Linked DNA regions of Caenorhabditis elegans. The protein of the gene in region 1 interacts with the protein of each later gene in a pairwise test. Each region holds a gene or a part of one and is shown in the gene's direction. Other genes may lie near its edges. The genes, in order: scrm-1, vet-6, lbp-6 and daf-4.

What was found.
Region 2: the proteins of scrm-1 (region 1) and vet-6 interact in a two-hybrid assay, tested with the Caenorhabditis elegans proteins (one study listed by BioGRID).
Region 3: the proteins of scrm-1 (region 1) and lbp-6 interact in a two-hybrid assay, tested with the Caenorhabditis elegans proteins (one study listed by BioGRID).
Region 4: the proteins of scrm-1 (region 1) and daf-4 interact in a two-hybrid assay, tested with the Caenorhabditis elegans proteins (one study listed by BioGRID).

Annotation. Positions count from the first base shown.
Region 1 is NC_003279.8:11,688,156-11,692,806, reverse strand, and holds scrm-1 (Phospholipid scramblase), read left to right. Parts: upstream 1-1,976; 5' UTR 1,977-1,985; coding exon 1,986-2,390; intron 2,391-2,503; coding exon 2,504-2,755; intron 2,756-3,161; coding exon 3,162-3,264; intron 3,265-3,310; coding exon 3,311-3,369; intron 3,370-3,416; coding exon 3,417-3,462; coding exon of another isoform or gene 3,463-3,470; exon of another isoform or gene 3,471-3,693; coding exon of another isoform or gene 3,694-3,698; exon of another isoform or gene 3,699-3,818; coding exon 3,819-3,841; 3' UTR 3,842-4,125; downstream 4,126-4,651.
Region 2 is NC_003279.8:13,268,289-13,273,288, forward strand, and holds vet-6 (Very Early Transcript), read left to right. Parts: upstream 1-1,695; 5' UTR 1,696-1,711; coding exon 1,712-2,003; intron 2,004-2,057; coding exon 2,058-2,888; intron 2,889-2,947; coding exon 2,948-3,283; intron 3,284-3,331; coding exon 3,332-4,404; 3' UTR 4,405-4,494; downstream 4,495-5,000.
Region 3 is NC_003279.8:6,727,796-6,731,244, reverse strand, and holds lbp-6 (Fatty acid-binding protein homolog 6), read left to right. Parts: upstream 1-1,868; 5' UTR 1,869-1,878; coding exon 1,879-2,085; intron 2,086-2,639; coding exon 2,640-2,840; 3' UTR 2,841-2,949; downstream 2,950-3,449. Other genes in the region: ant-1.2 (ADP/ATP translocase), read left to right, coding at 286-1,188; mec-6 (Mechanosensory abnormality protein 6), read right to left, coding at 3,204-3,362.
Region 4 is NC_003281.10:5,623,501-5,631,169, forward strand, and holds the start of daf-4 (Cell surface receptor daf-4), read left to right. Parts: upstream 1-1,641; coding exon 1,642-1,782; intron 1,783-1,862; coding exon 1,863-1,994; intron 1,995-2,362; coding exon 2,363-2,485; intron 2,486-3,106; coding exon 3,107-3,214; intron 3,215-3,263; coding exon 3,264-3,372; intron 3,373-3,443; exon of another isoform or gene 3,444-4,706; intron 4,707-4,995; coding exon 4,996-5,058; intron 5,059-5,168; coding exon 5,169-5,314; intron 5,315-5,361; coding exon 5,362-5,469; intron 5,470-5,960; coding exon 5,961-6,346; coding exon of another isoform or gene 6,347-6,371; exon of another isoform or gene 6,372-6,598; intron 6,599-6,957; coding exon 6,958-7,658; intron 7,659-7,669. UniProt on the Caenorhabditis elegans protein: Involved in a TGF-beta pathway. May be a receptor for TGF-beta-like ligand daf-7. Controls the decision of whether or not larvae enter a developmentally arrested state, known as dauer, in response to environmental conditions.

The DNA of each region.
Region 1 (4,651 bases):
AATTTCCAAAAAAAAATTAAGAAACCCTTTGAAAAATATATTATTTTCCATTAGAAAATTTTAAAAATTTTATGAAAAATTTTTTTTTTTCAATTTAATTTTCTAATTTTCGAATTTTTTCAAGTTCTCAAAAACTTCTATGATATTATTTCTGAGCTTTCCGAGCAACTTTCGCAATAAAAAGTGACGTCACTCAAAAAAAAGTAGTTTTGTATTTTGTATATTTGCTGAATCACCACTGTTTTCTGTTCAAATTTCATTGGTTTTTTTTTCTCTTTCATTTTTCACGTTTTTCCATTTCTCTCCCCTACTTTCTCTATGATTCAAACACGTTTTTTAATTCAACAAAAAAAGCGAAAAAAAGTGTTGTTTGGCCTTAATCATATGTATTAAATGGTTACCATGGTAGCTATCGCAAGTAGACAGCTGAAAATCTTTGATTTCTCTGCGTCTCTCCTAATTTTTTGATCTTTTCCGTATTCCGGCCACGCAACCCTTTTGTTTGTGTAGTTAGCTGGCTGACTTATGATTTTTTGGAAAACTGGTGAAAATGTTTCGCCCATTTTTTCATTGAAAAACCATTCTTAGTATCTACTTTTTAGTGGAACCTCTGATAATATGATAAAATGGGTATATTTTAACTAAAACCCTAAGGGTATACATAATTCCAAAAACGTTATTTTTTTAAACAAAAAATTGCGAAGCACCAAAATGCTCCGTGAGCTCAATATGGAAAACACTGAAACCTAGGCAATATGGGGCTTAAATCAAAGCTCTTAAAAAGCTGAACTCAAATTCGTATTAAAAAAAAATTTAGTGATTGTGAATAAAATAGAAAATAATGTGGGTAATTTCAGACAAAATGGGTATATTTTAACTAAAACCCTAAGGGTATACATAATTCCAAAAACGTTGTCTGAAATTACCCACATTATTTTCTATTTTATTCACAATCACTAAATTTTTTTTTTAATACGAATTTGAGTTCAGCTTTTTAAGAGCTTTGATTTAAGCCCCATATTGCCTAGGTTTCAGTGTTTTCCATATTGAGCTCACGGAGCATTTTGGTGCTCCGCAATTTTTTGTTTAAAAAAATAACGCCATTGTTAATTTTTATCATAAAATTTTTATTATAAGTTCAGCTCCCTTAGAGCGTCAATTCAAGCCCCATATTGCCTAGGTTTCAATATTTTTCACGTTGAGCTCGCGAAGCATTTTGGTGCTCCACGGAAGCATGAAAGCGGAAATTTTCAAACTAAAGTAATCTATACAATATGGATGCCAAGTTTTCAAATTTTTAGTGAATTGAGCAGCAGGATTAATTACGATTTGGAGTGTTCTGTGCTCACGGAGCAACAGAGCCCTACATTAAGTTTGAGGTAGCATAGGCATTATGGGTGTCAAACTAAAGCTTTCAGCTAGCTGAATCTAGCAAGATTGAGCCCACATCTGAATTTGGTGCTCTGAGAGCCAGAAATAGAGGTTGTTTTAATCAGATTTAAAATTGTCTGTGCCGTGCACAAATTGCTTCTCCTTATTCCCCTCTAATCATTGAGTTGTATGGCGTCATTGAACTTTTGATATGTAAAGCTTTTTATTATGAAATTTGATTTCAGCTTTCAGGAGCTTGAGAGCCATATTTTCTAATTTTAAGAATGTTTAAGACTGAGCTCAATTGGTGCTCCGCGAGCTGAAAGCTTTAAAGCTGAAGTTTTGTAAATTTAGATCAAATTCGAAAACATTTTTGTGCAAGCTCACGGAGCATCTTTTTTTTCACGTCACGTGAATCACTATGCTTACCAGATTGTAGCGCTGAATTGTATCAGTTCCTGTTGCTCCGCGAGCCCATAAAAACTTTACTATTTGATTCTACAAAAAGTCTAGGTGCCCCAGAACTTTCCTCCTGCTGATTTTTATCTTGAAATTTTTTCTAAATCTACTGTGCTTTGTTCATTTTTCAAGTGTTTTTTTTTCAGAAAATAACCATGCAGCAACCAGTAATAAACCAACAACCGGGCTACAACCCACAGGGTATGAATCCAGTGCAACAATTCGAAATGCATCAGCAGCAGCACCAACAAGCAATCACAACTCAGCCAGGTGTCTTTGTGCAGCCGGCTCCTGGCTCCGTGTGGATGCCAATGCCACCAGCAATCCAAGGTGTGCCTACAGGCCTGGAGTATCTTACCTACTTGGATACAATCATGGTGCATCAAATCAAGGAGCTCATCGAGATTGTGACGGACTGGGAGACCAAGAACAAGTACGTGCTCAAGAATGCAAATGGAGAACAGTGTTACTACGCGTTCGAGGAGTCCGGATGCTGTGAGAGACAGTGCTGTGGACCGCAACGTGGATTCGTCATGCATATTGTGGATAACTTTAAGAGGGTAAGCTCACGGAGCATCTGGTTCAACAAGCTCGCGGAGCAATCCTGAGCCCAAATTTTCAGGCCTACCAAGCCAAAATTGATCCACATGCTCTGAAATTTCAAATTTTCCAGGAAGTTCTGACCATCAAGCGTGAGTTCAAGTGTTGCGGAGGTGGTTGCTGTGGATGCTTGGCATGCATCGGATGCTGCCAGCAGGAATGTATCATCGAGACCCCATCGATGGGTGTTCTGGGTATCATCCGTCAGCGGTGTGGATGCATGTCGTCGAATTATGATATTATGGATGGAGATGGAAATGTGATCTTCCAGATTGATGGTCCATGCTGTTGCATGCTTTGCGGATGTCAGGATAAGGAGTTTCCGGTAGGTGAAGTTCTAGGGTCCTGAGAGGTGTCGGCTGCAAGGTACATGCTAGCTTGTCTGATTGCAAGGTGCTGTGAAATGTCGGCCGCTAAATATTACCTGAGGCTGTGAATGTATTGAAAATCCCAAAATTTTCACCGGCCCTTTATCTGAGGTTTTGCCAGTGAGGCGTCGGCCGCAATTTACTAGGATTACTGGCCACCCGTAAAGTGTCGGCTGCTTGAACCACCTGCTTTGCTGACTTGTGCTGTGCAGCCGACACCTAGCGGCTTTGTCGAATAACCCAAGAAACAGCGGTTGCCGAGCAGCCGACACTTTGCGGGTCTGTCGGGAAGCCAGTGAGCTACCGGCTGAAGATCCTATCCCCCTAAAATGTCCGCTGCTTCAATACCCTCAAAATTTTCAGATCAAAACCGCCAACAACGGCACAGTTGTCGGCGCGATCACCAAAAAATGGGGAGGTTGCTTCCGAGAGGCGTTCACCGACGCCGACACGTTCGCCGTCAACTGTAAGTCGCCCCCGTCCATACAATCAATAATTCTTGCAATTTTCAGTCCCCGGCGACCTGGACGTCAAACTCAAAGGAGTACTGATAGGAGCCACGTTTTTGATTGTAAGTTTGGTTGCTGTAGAATTACTGTAACTTTGCTAATTTTTCAGGATTTCATGGAGTTTGAGCAACAGAGCCAAAACCGCAATAACGGAGGTTTGTGATTATCGCTTTTTGCTAACAGAAGTTTTTTTGTTGTGGAAATTATTGATTTTTGCTTAAATTATCAACTTTTGTCTAAAAAAAACTATTGATTTATGTGAAAATTATCGAATATTGAAAAAGGATTGGTGTCTTCCCTAAAATATGAATTTTCGTCCAAATTATTGATTTTTGGGATAATTATGGATTTTCGCTTGAATTATCAATTTTTTTTTGCTTTTTCAGTCTAACCGTCCGTCTGCTTAACCCTCTACCATTTGCTTTACATTTTTGCTGTGTTTTTCGGTGATTAGAGCATAATTTGGTATGCAATCCCGGTTTTTTGTCAATTGACCTTTTTTTAATTCCAGGAGCCTATTACAGTTCTTCTTAAAGGTACAGCAAGCTCCGCATGCTGCTGCCCCGATGGTTGTGATTGCAATTGTGACTGTAATTGTTAAAAGCCAACTTTTTTAAAAACGTTTTTCTTATTATTCCAACGCATTCTTCCAATATATGTATGACGTCACTTTCCTTCAGACTCCGCCCACATTTCCTTGTTAAGCCCCGCCCACTCTCAGGTCTCCAAGCCCCGCCCATTTCTTCTAGTTTTCAGTGTCTGTCCCACCCACTTTTTTCTCACAAAATTATATATCAAAAATAAATTGTTTTTGAAAAATCGATAATTCAAATAGTTTACTACATATATTGATTATTTAAAGTGTAAAATTCACGAAATGTGTATTTTTGCTCACTATGAAATGTGCTCCAAAACGCTTTGCTCCGCGAGCCCTTTGCTACAGGATCAGCTCTATTTGCAAAATTTTCAGGTTGAAAAAATGGAGCAAGAACTTCTTAACCCTGCTCCACCGGTTTACGTTGAACTGCAAGACCGAGCTGTTATTACAACTCAACCGGGAGCTCCGATACAAGCGGCTCCAGGATCCATCTGAATGGAAGCGCTCCCAGCAATTGAAGGGGTTCCCGCCGGCCTAGAGTACCTTGCATACTTAGATGAGATCATGGTGTACCAAGTGAAAGAGATGTTTGAAATATTTACCGGCTGCCCTAAAAACCAAAAAAACTCACAATCAAAAACGTGGCTCCAAGGAGCACAGCCTTGAGCTTGACATCAAAGTCGGCGGGGACTGATAATAGCCAGGGGTTATTTTAGCTTTTTTCAATTAAACCTACATAAGACGGC
Region 2 (5,000 bases), 1.6 Mb from region 1:
ACGTTCGTATTTGCTTCAGAGGCCATTTCTCGGCTCCCAATGATTTTCGCAGCACCAAACTTGACCAAAATGATCTTCCCCACCTATTTATTACTATTCAAATAATTGTTGAAAACATTTATTCATATGAACCAAATGGTAAAGGGAGCAACTGCAGTGATTTTCAAAAGGCTTGATTTAACTATGAAAACTAGCGTTTGGAGGCGCAGAGCTGATGGTTTTGACTTCCTATTGTACAGAATTTTAGCTCATCCGGTTCAAATATCCTTGAAGCTTTGATTTTGATTAGAAGTCTTCGAAAATTTATTCGGAAAAGTTCATGAGACCGCTCAAAAGAGGACAAAGGCAAAGCGAGGCCGCAAGTATTTTTCTCAAGCTAACACGCGAAAATTTTAAAGACGAAAGTAAGATATAACTTTCTGAATGGCGATTTTTCTAGCTGTATTTATAACTCAACTGAAATTTAGCGAATTTGCTCATTGAATATTTCTATGGTCAAAGAACCTAAAAGCTAACAGACAAAACCTGAATCGGTGAATGTAGATGTCTAGCATTTGATGTATCCATGGATTTCCACAGATTTGATGTTCACATAATATAATTTTTTTTTTTTGCTATAATTTAGTAATTCTTAGTCGAAAATGTATTACCAACCTTCAGCTCTGCGCCTCCAAACGCTAGTTTTCATAGTTAAATCAAGCCTTTTGAAAATCACTGCAGTTGCTCCCTTTACCATTTGGTTCATATGAATAAATGTTTTCAACAATTATTTGAATAGTAATAAATAGGTGGGGAAGATCATTTTGGTCAAGTTTGGTGCTGCGAAAATCATTGGGAGCCGAGAAATGGCCTCTGAAGCAAATACGAACGTTCCAGGACAATCCTAGGCGTTCCACGTGTTTTCAGGGGTTATATTTATTTTTTAAATGTGAAAATGAAACCGTCTGAACATTTTGTTGTAAAGTTATTCACAAAATAAATTTATTAATTAAGAAGAAAACCCCGATTTTACCGAAAATTGCCAAAAATCAGAGGGGGTGCTATAGAAGTTGGACGGCCATTTTTCCGATATTTTGACCTAATTCCTGTGATTTTTGAGATATCATAATGAAAATTGGGGAGCATAGGTTTTTCAACATTTGCTATCGAACTGCACTAGCACTTTTTCAAAAAATATTTTGAGAAGCTCCAAACCGCCAAATTGGAGGGGGGTGCTATAGAAGTTGGACGCACTGTATACCCTAGTTTGAAATTGCTTGGCAAAGTAAGATGAAACATTAAAAGAAAAGGCACTGTAATTCAGCAAAACAGACTTGACTGTACGTCCCAATTTATTGCAAGAGTGGGAGAATATTAGTGTCATTTGACAGATGCTCAGTGTTTTTCTAGATATTCGGTCTCCTGGGACTCCACTATAAGAGGGTTGCCATCGTCTCCTTTTCAGACAATGGCAGGCTCCTCCTTTGTCCAGATAAATCACTTTATGGGTAATCGATAACCCAAAACGCGCAAATGGAGTCTGACAGATTTCAGGCACCTTACCACTCAGTCTTCCAGTCATTCAATCTTCAACTGCCCTTCCTGGTTGGTGAGCTGGTTTTTTCTTTCCTTTTTTCAATTATTTTCCTTATTTTTCTGTTACCTGTTTTGTCGTATTGTCTTGTCTAGAAGATTCTAATTATCTTCAATTTCCAGAAAGTAAACTCCAACGATGAGTTCCAACTCTGCACTTGAATTGAAATCTGCTCTCTCACAACTCAATCGCGAACGTTCTGAAATGGTCAAAGATCTGGAAAAGGCACAAAAAGACTATGTGGCTGCAAGAAACATGCACAAGTCTACTGGCTCTCAAAATCACCTTGAAGTTGTTAACACATGCTGGAAGAATGTTCAAGCGGCACAAAAAGCTCATCAGAGCAAAGTAGAAGAATTTCATATGGTTCGCCGTTCATTCGCGGATGCAGTGAGGGAGAGTCCGGAATCTTGTTCTATTAAAAATCGAGGTCAGTTTTCATTACTCTTTGAAGATTATAGATTTTCTAATCCTTTAATTTCAGAAAGCAATCCATCTTCAACCAATGATCAAGATTTAGCCGCCAAAAAAGCTGTTCTGGATGCCGAATTCCGAGAAGAAGCCATCAGAGACGGAGTTTTTATCCCAACTCAACGATACAACTCTACACTTCCACCACCCTTGGTTCGAAATGAATATGTTGCCGAACCAAAGAAATCGACCGCTGATGAAGATTTCGAAAAGCGGATGGTAGAGCTTCAACGTCAAGCTTCGAAGTATGCAAAGATTGGTGATTCAGCGGTATTAAAAGATCGCTCAACTGGATTGACAGCTGCTACCATACAGCTCTTCGCAGAATATTTTCCCAAGCGCCGCGAGCTGTCAAACGCTCGAAAAGACTTCATGACAGTACTGAATTTGCATGCTTCTACTGGTTTTCTAAAATACTGTGAAGCGGTTAATGCAAGCAGGAAACACTTAGAAGCGGTAGAAGAGGCTTATCGGAAAACAACCAATGAGCTTTGCAAGGATCTTAATGAATATCCGATGGAGTCTGATAAAGATGTCAAAGAGCGTGCTTCAAAGTATGCAGAGATCTGTCGTTTAAAGGAATCAGAAGATCAACTTTTGGATCTGCTAAAGCCGGCATCCAGCGAATTAATCCCGTTGTTCAATGAAATAGTGAATCTGTCCGGCATTCGTACCAAGAAGACACCGACTCAAACCACTGAAGCCTCACAGATTGCTCCAGAAAGCATTTCTACCTCAAATGTAGATCCAGCAACTCAACTAGATCCTGAAACTACCCAGACATCACCGCTCACCTCGGCCCCAGTTTCTTGGTTCAACTCTGAAAGTTCCGATATAAACCAAGGTAATTTAATATATTTATTAATATACGAAACTATAATTAATTATAAAATCTTTTTGCAGACATCACATCATATCCGGATCTAGTACACCACCCTGGTGTAGATTCCGAAAAACAGATGGTCGAGTTTCATCGTCAAGCTTTGAGGCTTTATGAACTTCAGACTTCTCAGACACTTGCTTCTTGTTTTGATTCTGAAAGTCAAGAAGTGAACTCATTGCTCAATAATGCGTTCGTTGAAGCCTCAGAGATTACTGAAGAAAACATTTCGACCACAAATGTAGAATCTACATCACAGTCAGAGCCAACAGAAGTAACTCCAGAAACTACCCAGGAATCAGCACCCACCTCTGCTCCAGTTGTCTGGTCCGAAGCCCCAGGATATGGTGCGAGACAAGGTAACTAATTAAGTACCACAAATCTTTTAATCATATTATTATTTTCAGAATGTAATCCTCGGATGTGCACCAACAGACAACACTCTTCTCCAATCAGGATCCGTCATTGCACATCAAGAAATGTCACAACTTACAGTGTCTATTGCTGGAAGAGACCTTCTCACGTATACACCTACAATCATCAAGAGGAGAAATTCGAGCAGCACAAGTGTCTTGCCTGTGTTCCAAGAGTTCAAGAAAACCACTTATTCCCCACGTGTGCAGTTTGGAACGAGAAAATCTCCAATTTCGTGATTTTCATGGACAATATGGTGACAAAGCAAAAAGATGAGCAGTACATGTTCAGCTTCAAGACTGGGGGATTCGAGCAAGTGAACTATCCGGAGGTGCAACCAGCTCAAGGACCGAAAAACACTGATTTTGTAGCAGCAGTCAATGGAGATGGAGATGATCAAGTGATCATCCAAAAGTCACGATTTGGTGTGAAGAAGCTGGAGTTCAGATATGGAAAGTATGTGAAGATTCCGAGTGTTGAAGTGAGAACTCTTTTGATGAAGGAGCTGGAGGGTGTGGAGATGGTTCAAGAACCATCCAGTACTCTTCCATTATCCACAATCCGCTGGTGTCCAACATACAGTCAGAGTGCTCTCTATATCTTCTCCAGTCGATTGGGACATTATCTCAAGTACGCATTCAACCCATCTACACAGCAATTCGAGCAACTCAACTGTTCGGGATGCCCATTAAATGTTGAGGAATGGCACTTGTGTCCATTATACGCAGAGTACGCTGATTCTATCAAAACCTATGTAATTCATGTCTTCAACGATTTCACAAAGGAGATTGAGAAGTATATGTATTGCGTGACAGGAAAATGTTTCTATCAAGTTACATGTCCGGAAATCGTCTACGATTCATCGAAGGCCCATAGCTCAACAGTGCTTTTCACCGTTTCTGCTCCAAATCACCCATTCACAATTTTTATGAAGGATGTTAATGGAAGAATTAAGAAGGAGCAACTCAACGGGCTTCACAATGGTTATATGGAACTTCCCAGCGCCAAAGTCTACACGTTGTATGCGATGAGATGTAATAATTCGGCTGGAACTACCGGCATCTGAAAATATATTCATTTTTGCAATATTTCCATTTGATTTTCATTGTTCTGACCTGTCCTTTTTTGATAATTAATTTCAATAAATTATGTTTTTTTATTAGAATGCAATTTTATTAGAAGCAATTTATAAGAAGCAAATTTTATTAGAAGCAATGGCTTAGGTTCCCCGAATAGGGCCACTGAGATTCTTAAAATACTTTCGAGCCAGACCTAGGTAAGTAGGGGAAGAGAAAAAATGAAATAATGAGTGGACGAAAAAGTAAAATGACCAATTGGACGAGCTATAGTCTCCGGGAGGTCAAGTTGGGAAGAGGGTGTCGGAGGGAAATAGAGCCTAGGCGCGACGTCTACCGTAGACAGCCCTACCCTAGACTAAAACATGTTTCAGGTGTGTCTCAAACATTGATACACGTCTCAATTTGAATTTGTCCACTAAACGGTATGACTGACATTCCACTTTTTCTGCTTGAACTCAGTGAATATGAAACTTTTTCAAATTTGGTTTCCAAATTCTGAAAGACCACAAAATTTGCAACAAAATGACAGGGATTTTTGAAAATGTTAGTTTAAAGCTAGATATGATTTTTTTAAATTGGAAAA
Region 3 (3,449 bases), 5.0 Mb from region 1:
TTTTAAAGGACCAGAAACCCTTTTCTTTTCTCTGTCTCTGTTAAAAAAGGCCTTGTTTATTTTCCGTAAAATTTTTCATTAGTTTCAACAATTTTTAAAGAAACACTTTTGTTTTAGATTTTTCTTTTTTTTTAAATTAATTTTATTCTTTATATTGATTAGACTTTCATGACCAAAATTTTGAGAAGAGTCTAGTGAGCTCCTTCCTACTCGCATTTGAAGAAAGTTTTATTATCAGCATTCAGGAAATATAATCTCTGAAAAAAAACATTCCAGAAGGACAAAATGACCACAAAGGAAGGATTTGATTATCGAAAGTTTCTTGTTGATCTCGCCTCCGGAGGCACTGCTGCAGCAATCTCAAAAACTGCCGTTGCTCCAATTGAACGTGTAAAGCTTCTACTTCAAGTCAGTGATGTCTCTGAAACAGTAACTGCCGATAAAAAATATAAAGGAATTATGGATGTTCTTGCTAGAGTGCCAAAAGAACAAGGATATGCAGCATTTTGGAGAGGAAACCTTGCAAATGTGCTTCGATATTTTCCAACGCAAGCGCTGAATTTTGCATTCAAAGACACTTATAAGAAGATGTTTCAAGAAGGAATTGACAAGAATAAAGAATTCTGGAAATTCTTTGCTGGAAATCTCGCTTCTGGTGGAGCAGCTGGTGCAACATCTCTATGCTTCGTGTACCCACTGGATTTTGTGCGTACTCGTCTTGGAGCCGATGTTGGAAAAGGAGTGGATAGAGAGTTTCAAGGTCTAACGGATTGTTTTGTGAAAATTGTGAAATCAGATGGACCAATTGGTCTTTATAGAGGATTTTTTGTTTCAGTACAAGGAATTATAATTTATCGTGCAGCATATTTCGGAATGTTTGATACTGCCAAAACATTGTACTCAACTGACGGGCAAAAACTCAATTTCTTTACGACATGGGCAATTGCTCAAGTTGGAACAGTTGGTTCTGGATATTTATCATATCCATGGGATACAGTACGTCGTCGAATGATGATGCAATCAGGGAGAAAGGATATTCTCTATAAAAACACTTTGGATTGTGTTAGAAAGATTGTGAAGAATGAAGGAATTACTGCATTATACAAAGGAGGTCTTTCAAATGTATTCCGAGCAACTGGAGGTGCTCTTGTGCTCACAATTTATGATGAGATTCAACATTTAATTTAATTACAGAATTAAAGTATGTATATGTTAATTTTGAAACAACATTGCCAATAAATTTTTTTGTTTAAAATGCATTTTTACTTTATTTTAAAAAAAAGAAGATTGTTTAAGTTTCACAATTTGAAAATGGGCTTCTATATATGTACAAGATACTAGTTTTTTACCTCAAAAAAAAATAAATTTAAAAAAAATTAAAACTTAGATATACTTTAATCAAAAACGATATTTTCCTCCTCAGAAATTTCAGAATTTTTTTGATAATATTTTTGTTTTTATTCGACTGAAAATTCCTCACTTTTCCTCTTTTCTATTTTTATTTTTCAAAAATGATGCAACGAATCAAAAAATGAATCATTCTTCAAAAAAAAACGAAACGAAAAATAGAGGAGACAGAAATAGAGAAAACGTTTTGAATCTCCGCCCACTCTTGCCCCCTATCATTCCATTTATCAGACCACCTAAATACGAATGATTTCCCAAGGCATTGCCATTCGTTTTCTTGTTGATTTGCAACTTTTCTTTTATTTCCATTTGCAAGTGATATGATAGTTCATCTTCTAAAATTAATTTTTAAAATAAGATTTTTTAACCATAATTTCAGACTAACGTTTTATTCAGACCTATTACATATCCGTTAATCTATTGAACTTTTTACCTGCTTTTCCAACTTCTTCTATTTACAGAACCATCACCATGTCTCAAGAATTCGTTGGACGCTGGAAGCTCATTCACTCAGAGAACTTCGAGGAGTACATGAAGGAGGTTGGAGTTGGATTGATCACTCGTAAGGCTGCTGCCAACTTGAAGCCAACTTTGGAAATCAAGGTCGAAGGAGATTTGTGGTATTCCAACCAATACTCCACATTCAAGAACACCACTCTTTCTTTCAAGTTGGGACAGGTAAGAAAGTGCAAAGTTTTTTACTTACAAAAGACAAAAATAATGTTATCAAAAAAAATGTGGGTTTTCTGATTCCAAATTTGCGACAAAAAAGTTACATAAAAATAAAGAAACGCACTACAAATTTATGAATAAAAATTGTTACTTCCATATTCACAGACAAAAAGTCTTAAAATTCCAGGTGATAACATTTCAAACCATAAATCATAAAATGATCATTGATTTCTTGTTATAAGACTTTGATAAACAATATGTATTTCCCATAGTTTTCGTGTTTTTTCATGCACGAATAATATTTTTTTAAAGCCATGAGAAACAATATCTGATTTCAAAATGCACGTTCGTTGATATCGGCAATTGTGGACAAAGTTTAGCGACTTTCTGCCCACAATTTGCTGTGAGCAAATTCCTGCCAACATTTTATCCTATCCATTTGAGCTTTTGGTTTGAGCAAGTTATCCCCAAATTCCAAGTAATTGTATCCAATAAAAATTGTTTCAACCCTGAAATTGAACTAGCATTCTTCAGACTTATATTTAATGTTTTTATCCCAGGAATTCGATGAGACCACTCCAGATGGCCGTACCGTCAAGTCAGTTGTCAACTTCGAGAACGGAAAATTCATTCACATTCAAAAGAAGATCAAGGACTCTGATAAGGAATCAATTATCACCCGTTGGCTCGAAGGAGACAAGCTTATCACTACTCTTGAATCTGGATCCGTTGTTTCTCGCCGCGAGTACGTTCGCGAATAGATTCTCAATTCCCAACATGAGCTTTGTTCTTGTCTTCCTGTGATATTTAATAGTAAATATTGAAATTTAAAGTATTACAATTATTTCTTTATGGCAATAAATGAGAAATATATTATCAGACTTCGAATCAAGACACTAAGAATGACTAATTGTGACGAGAAATTAGTTAATTTGAAAGCTGCTAAATTCTCATAAATCGACTTTCCTCTAAAACGCTGGAAGGCTATTGAAAAGGGGTGGAGGCGTGGCGCCCCCGTTACGCCTCGACAAGTTTATAAATAAATCTAGATACAATGTCTACAACACATCTGTTTCTAGATCATATTCATCGGTTTATTTTTTAAATAAGCTCTAAAAGTTTGACTATGTAATATATGAATGCGTAAGATCACAATGAAGAAGTCTTCCAAATGAACTTCCAATTAACATTTGTTCATCAGTGAATACAACTGATGAACTCGCCGAAATAGTTGCTCCATCGTTTGCATACGGTTCAGTTGTTACCCAAGAGTTGCCTTCTTCCTGAAACAAATGCGATTTTTGATTTTTTGACGCTTTTTCGCATTGATTAGTATTTGAATGAATTGATAAAAAACGTGGAAACAGAGT
Region 4 (7,669 bases), on another chromosome or scaffold:
CTTTTCCTTCTTCTTCTTCTTCATCTAACATAAGAGAGCTTTGGTCTTACACGCCTGCTGCTACCCTCTCCTCCTTCTTCTGCAACAACAACAAACCCACCGTGGTCACATGTGAATTTCGCCGAGTTTCACGCTCTTTTTCCCCCTTTTCTTTTTCGGCTTTTGCTGCAAAAATAGAACGAGTGAATAATACCCAGAAAAAAGCGAGTGCTTTGTTGTTGTCAAGGTAAACACAAAAAATATATGAAAAATGTTCAAAAAATATTCGTTTTGACATTCTCTTCTCCCACTTAAGTCGCTTGATTCAATGTGACGGGGAGGCTTGAGGCAGGAGGAAAAGTATAAATTCACCTGAAATAACGAATGGTGACATGTTTTTGAATAAGAAGAAGGAAAGGATGACGTTGAGTGGTACTTTCTATTTTCGTACGTTTTACAGAAAACTTATTGAAACTTAGCGCCCGACATCTAGCCCAAACTTGGACGAACACCTAAGCCTAAGCCCAAGCCTAAATCTCATTTTAGACTTTTAGCCGAGCCCACGCCTACTCCAATTCCGTTCTGCTGAAAAAAACATACGTTTTCCTGGTACCACGCACGAAATATAATCCTGAGAAACTTTTTTTGGTTACATTACATGTGTATAGCACATTATTTAATTTTTCCTCGAATTGCTAGTGTATTTTGGGAACCGAAATATGGAAAGTCCAGTTAGTCCGAACTTCGCCCATTTCCTATAAGGTGCAGGTGTTCATCGATACTATATTTTTCTCAAAGTTCCCGTTCTATAGACCCCGGAAGATCCCGCCTTCATTCTGTTTGGGCCCCGCCCAACTTTAGCCCCCTCCGATGAGAAAAAGAGCACAAGAGGACAGCGAGCCCCTCTTGTAAGGTTCTTGTAGGTCAGATTGTCACGTCATTTGATTTTTTGTTGTTGTTTATTAGAGAACATTGAATGAAAACCTTTTTTTATTTGAAACAAAAAGTAGAGAGTAGAGTTTGTAAAAGTGATAAGAGTGTACCAATCTTTGCTGTTTCCTCGTTCTTTTTCTCTTTTCTCTCTTCATTTCTGATGTGTGCTTCTCACTTCATTTTTTTTGCAAACTTTTTGTGCTTCCTTAACACTTTTCACATCTTTCGTTTGATGGAGATTGTGCAATTTATTCCTATTTTTACGGAATTTTTGAAAAATTTGGTTGACATTTTTTAGTTGAAAGTTTTGAACTCTCATGGTGCATCGAAGTAAAATTCAAACATTTTATTTTAAAAAAATGAAAAGTTTTTTGTTAAAAAAATTGGAAATTTCGAATGTCGAAATTCGAAATTTTTTTATCCGAAATTTCGATTGCTTTTATTTGAAATTAAGAAATTTAATTTTCATCAAAACTAAATTTTTAAAATTTTAGCTGGAAATTTTAGCAAAGCTGGCAATTTTATTTAATTTTATCGAAATTTTCGAATTTTCGAATTTTTGAAATTTTATTTATTTTTTCTCAAGTTGAATTTGTTGACCTATTTTTTTTATTTAAATAAGTTTGCATCTATTTTTCTCAATAAAACATTTGATCTTAATTATTTATTTATTTTACTCCTCAACTTTAAAAAAAACGTTACAATAATTCAACTACCTTCAATTTTCAGATGAATCAGAAAGGGACAGTACGTCTCAAGGCACTTGTGCTCATTTGCCTTCCACTCTTTTTAATTGCCACACCGGTTCCTGTTGCAGTCACGGAAGACGATCGTCAGGACCGAATCGAATCGGAAGCCGCCGAGAAAGAGGTGAGCATTTTTTGAGAAAATGTGTTTTTGTCGTAAACTTCTTTATTTTATTCTATCTCCTTGGTTTAACCATCTTTCAGTGGGCTAACACCCTAGTCAGCAAAGTAGCACAGTCAAATGGAACTGGCACTATTAAGGTCTCGGCACCAGCGAAGCCCACGTTAAGGAGAATGGACAATGAGGAGGATGAAGTGATTTCGATTGAATGTGTAGTAAGTTTTTGGATCAATTTGATGGAATTTAGGCTCATTAGATAGTGTTGACGTTTTGGGGATCAGAAATCAGTGACTCTCCCGTTTGTTTAAAAATTACTGGATCAAATACACTTTAATTCCAGTGAGCCCTGTTCCCCTTGTAGAGGTCGCAGAGCCAATCCACCCACATTCCACTGATCCTTGTTTCAATTAACTATAGTTACTTTAAAGTACCAAGATATTCTAAAAGGGATAAGTTCAAACCCGCAAGCTACAATAACTACAACTCCTTTTGTTTTTCAAGTGTTATCACTATTCCATAATTATAGGCTCTCTTCCCCAAAATTAAAGCAGTAGTAAAAACGTTAAACTTTAAAATTTTGCAGTACTACGACGAGATGGAATGCGAAAAGAGTGGCGATTGTGAAATCACAAAGAAGACGTGTTACAGTGAAGCTCATCTGAAAGCCGTCGGATGCTTGGCCGTATTTGGGCTGCCCACGCAAGAGGTTAGTGTGGAAGAGGTTTTTGGCGGCCACCCCCAGACCGAACTGTGTCACATGACGGGGGCCCTTTATATATATTGTTTCATTTGTTATTCATGAGTGACATCTTCTTCCTCTTCATCCGCGGAAGTATTTGTATCTTTTGCATTTTTTTTTCCATTCTGGCTTATGACTTTGTCAGCTGGAACAAATTGGGGTGACATGACTCGTGATTTTTGATAGTTTTGTAGGATGGAATTTGAATATCAAAATTAAAATCAGAATTGCATTAGTTTTATCGAAAACAAATACATATGAGCAAGGTTTTGGCCTTTTTGAAGACGACTTTGAAAATTTACTGAGCGACATAGGATTTAAACGTGGAACTTGATTCAAATTGAAAAAAATACTGCGGAAAAAGTTAATGATCAAGGCTTTATTATTCCTTTGCTACAAAGCTCTTCAAACCAAACTTAAAAGTTGTTGAGTTTATCAATCCAATTTTGATCGAATCCATTAAAAATGTGCAAACCAACTAATCCGGATTTAGCTGCCCATGTTTCAAAAGATGATTAATTGAGTAAAGGGGATAATAATAGATATATGCATCCATATTATAAACATCAAAAATCTTAAAATTTCCAGATAAACTCTACAGAACCATACCTGAAAGTTGATAAACCGCAATACAAAAGTCTGGGATGTATGCCGTATCAGCACGCGGACTCGATGAACTGCGAGAACGAAAGCTCCGTAAGTTATATTTCAGCATTCGGAGCACCTCATAAAACTGGAATTTCAGTGTCGCCAAGGACGATCATTTCGCGGCGGAATTGGAATGTGCTGCTGTTCGACCAACAATTGCAACATGCCGGATCTCATCGAGATGGTCAACCCGTCATTGAAGAAGGGTCAGTGAGCACATTATATTAAGAGAGCACTATATCCCATGTTTAACCCCATTCTTAGTATACTAGAGCAACACGCAATGATTCTGTTTTTGTGAATATACATATATATCACCTCCTTCTTTTTACCTTTTTTACCTTCTTTCTGTCCCACTTTCTGTTTAAATAACCTTCTTTCGGGTGAGCGTTGGGGCTAGAGGCTAGGGAGAAATTGTTGGCATTGAAATGAGAGGTTTTCTGTGAAACATTTAGCTTTAAGTTAGCAGAATTTTCACGAAAGTTGAACAACCACGCGTGTCTGTGCCTAGTTATTTTTTCGAAATACGGTTCATCATACGGAGGTTGCCTCCCATCAACTAAAATACGACAGAGTTGGAGCACATTCGAGAAAATTCCCAGGAAGTTAGACAAAAATGTGGCAAACTAACGACGAGTGTAGGGAGATAGTGGACGGAAGTTGGCAAACGTTGCGAGCAAATGAGAAGCACCAAATTGCAATATGTCCTAATGTAGAAGCGTTCAGGCGAAAGTTCGAGAGAGTTTGGCGATGTTTGGTTTGAGCTCGGCCACAGTAATAGGGAAAGTGACGCGAAGTGTGATCAATCTGAGTCAAGCTTTCGACAAGTGAAAGACGAGAGTAGGAGTTGAGGAGCGGGCCAGATGGAAGACGGAAGCTGCGACGAATCTTCAACTAATTTATGAGCGTTGAAAAAAAAAGTTGGAGAGAGGTTATGGGGTTATTCAAGTAGTGTCGGAAAATTAAAAAGTGTAGAAAAATTACGTCACAACCTTATTCAAGTAGATAAAAACATGTATTTAAATACATTTGTGACGTCACAAATGTATTTAAATGCATTTTGCTACATTACTTGAATAACCCCATTAGAAAATTTTGAATGGTCTCTACGGATCTCAGCAAACGTTCGTCCAAACTGCGACAACCTTATGACGCGTTTATGATAAAATTTGAAGTTGAGACAATGAGAGAGAAGGATAACCGAGCAGAGGTTGAGAAGAAAGCTCGAGAGAGCTTGGCAAACATTGAAAGATAGTTCAGCTAGCCCTGAGACAATATTTTGCGCCAAAGCTGAACAAATTTCCGGTGGAAGTCAATCGGAAATTAAGAAAAATATGGAGAACTTCCCATTACTTTAGCTATACTCCTCCCAACCTTTCCCCGTGTACCCTCAACCTGAAAGAATCCACCTCTGTAAAAGCCTGCAGTTGTCATAAACCTTGTTCCCAATTTCTCTTCCCTTTCCTAATTTTCTCCGAAAAAAATGCACGTGGACCTCTCCAGATTGTCTCCTAATTTTCTCTTACCCCTCACACATACACACACACACCATTCATGCAATTTTATGTTTGTTCTTGTGGCTTTGCAAGTAAACCACTTTTTTATTTCAACTTTCTTTTGTTCTTTCTGTTTCTAGAGGCGATTCGCAACGACACTCTGCTGTTATTTGGCTCCTCCCCTCCAGTGAGCGGAGTGTCGTTGCAAAGTGAAACAAACGCTTTTTCGTAATAATTTGCACCCGTGGAAGATGCCTGTACACACACACACACATACAAATAAAAACATGTACACATTTTGAAATCACCTATTTAGAGCCGATAAAATTTCAGATTCGGATAATTCTGCACTTCTGTGGGCTTCAACTCCATCCAACATGGATTTGGAATCTCTAGGTACTGTCTGCATCTACGTCTCGGGGCTAGCTGGGTACTAACTAGGTGCTAAACACCCTCTACCACACATCCCCCACTCTTGTCAGTTTCTCAATGGAGCGAATTTGCAGACAAGTTCCCATTCTACTGGATCATCATAATCGCACTGTCAGTGATCCTTTGTATTGCACTCTTGATCTTGGCATACGTTGGTTGGAAATTTCAGCAGAATAAGAAGGAGGAGATAAAAAAGCAGCAGAAAATTAAATTTGACATGGCGAGTTTTGTCTTTTTTGAAATCGAATCAATTTTCGAAATTTTCAGGAAAAAACTGACGCACTGGAAGCTGGAAATGTGCCTCTCGTGGAGCCGGAAGAGGAAATGATTGAAATGGTGGAGACACCAAAGGAGCTGCCGATCACTGATTTTCAGGTATGTAGGTACCGCAAGAGTCGTGCTTGATATTTTATATTGAAACATGCTCTCTAAATCTAGAATACAACATTTGAATTTTGAAAAAAAAACCATATTGGTGAAACTTTTCAGCTTTACATGAATTTTTTAAAAATTATCAAAAACAATTGTTAACATAACTTAAAAACAACGAACAATTCTGAAAACATTTGAATTTATGGTTTTTTAACAGTGTCGGGGAACGTTTTCATTTGGCATTGGAGCGCATTTGCACTTTGATTTCAAAATTCACATATTTCGCGTCTTCATAATAGTTCGTCTTTTTGATATTTTGCTCGGAAGTTCGACCTCACGGTGTAAACTTTTGATGTCCACTACTTTGTGAACTCTGAGCTTTTCCTTACTTTTTCTTTATCTTTGAGAAAAAATGTTGAAAACAACAGAAGGCTCTTTTCATGAGCTGATTGACGTCACACTTACACTCAATGACATTTGTTCGTTTATTGCAGTTAATCTCAAAGGGACGTTTTGGAAAAGTTTTCAAGGCGCAATACACCCCAGACAGTGGTGAGAAACGATTGGTTGCGGTGAAGAAATTGAACGAATTCCAAAAAGCGAGCTTTTTGGCGGAGAAAAGAATCTTTGATGAGCTTAACGAGTACCCGAAGTGGTATAAAAGTATCGTCGAATTTGTGTGCGCCGAGAAAATTGGTGATGAGTATTGGATTGTGACCGAATTTCATGAGCGACTTAGTCTCTATGAGTTACTCAAGAATAATGTAATTAGTATTACATCTGCCAATCGAATTATTATGTCAATGATCGATGGGCTTCAATTCTTGCATGACGACAGGCCGTACTTCTTTGGACACCCAAAGAAGCCAATTATTCACAGGTTAGTGGAAAATGAAAATAATTAGAAAATTTTTAATGGATCTGACTTGTGATCGCCCTCCAACTAGTTTTAATGCTCAGAACTTTACTCTAGGTTGGTCCTAGAAAAAATCGGAAGAAGTTGCTAAGTTGCGCTTGAGCAGCCGACATTTTCAGGATCAATTAATAGTAGCGTGGACCTACAAGTTGTCGGCTGCAATTTCCAGTAAATATTTTTTGAAATACACACGATAGAGTCCAAAATGATAGGGTAAAATATTGAAAAAAAAAAACCAATTTTTAGGCGCATGACAATTTTCAGTTGAAGTTTCGAAAAGTTAGGGTTTAGAAAAAAAATAAAAATTCAAACAATTTTGTACATTGGAACACCTAAAGTATCTAGAGTTAATTAGAACATAATCAGAATATAAATTTCGCGGGAAAATTGTGTACAAAGTGTTATTATGATATTCGGTTTACTATCGGAGAGATTCTAACCAATGCTCCCAGTAACACTACGTTACCTTTTAAGAGCAGGTAGCGAGTTTCAACGACGCACGACGCTGGTTAGTGTATGCTCCAAACTGTTTCTAATGTCTGTACTTATTCAATTCAATAACCAATTTTTTGCAGAGATATCAAGTCGAAGAACATTCTTGTGAAAAGCGACATGACCACATGCATCGCGGACTTTGGCCTCGCCCGAATCTACAGCTATGACATTGAGCAAAGCGATTTGCTGGGTCAAGTGGGAACGAAACGCTACATGTCACCAGAGATGCTCGAAGGAGCAACCGAATTCACGCCAACTGCTTTCAAAGCGATGGACGTTTATTCGATGGGACTCGTCATGTGGGAAGTCATATCCCGTACCAAGTTGCACCAAACCGACGAGCCACCAAACTACCAAATGCCGTTTCAAGTCATCGGATTTGATCCCACAATTGGTCTCATGAGAAATTATGTGGTGAGCAAGAAGGAACGACCACAATGGAGAGATGAGATTATTAAACATGAATATATGAGTCTGCTAAAAAAGGTTACGGAAGAGATGTGGGATCCCGAAGCGTGTGCACGGATTACAGCTGGATGTGCGTTCGCGAGGGTATGGAATCATATTATGAGCTCACCGGACAGTTCGGAGGGGTATCACAGTGGAAGTAGTATGAAGAATCGGGGTGTTGATGATGTTGAACAAAGTGAGAAGCCGGAGGGTATCGAAGAAATGCAACATTATCATGCGTCGTCACCCAGCAAGAGACAACATCCTAGTCCGAATCCGTTTTTTGATTCGTGTCCACCACCTCCGCCGATTCCTGTGATCCTTGAAAATGGTGAGTGTACA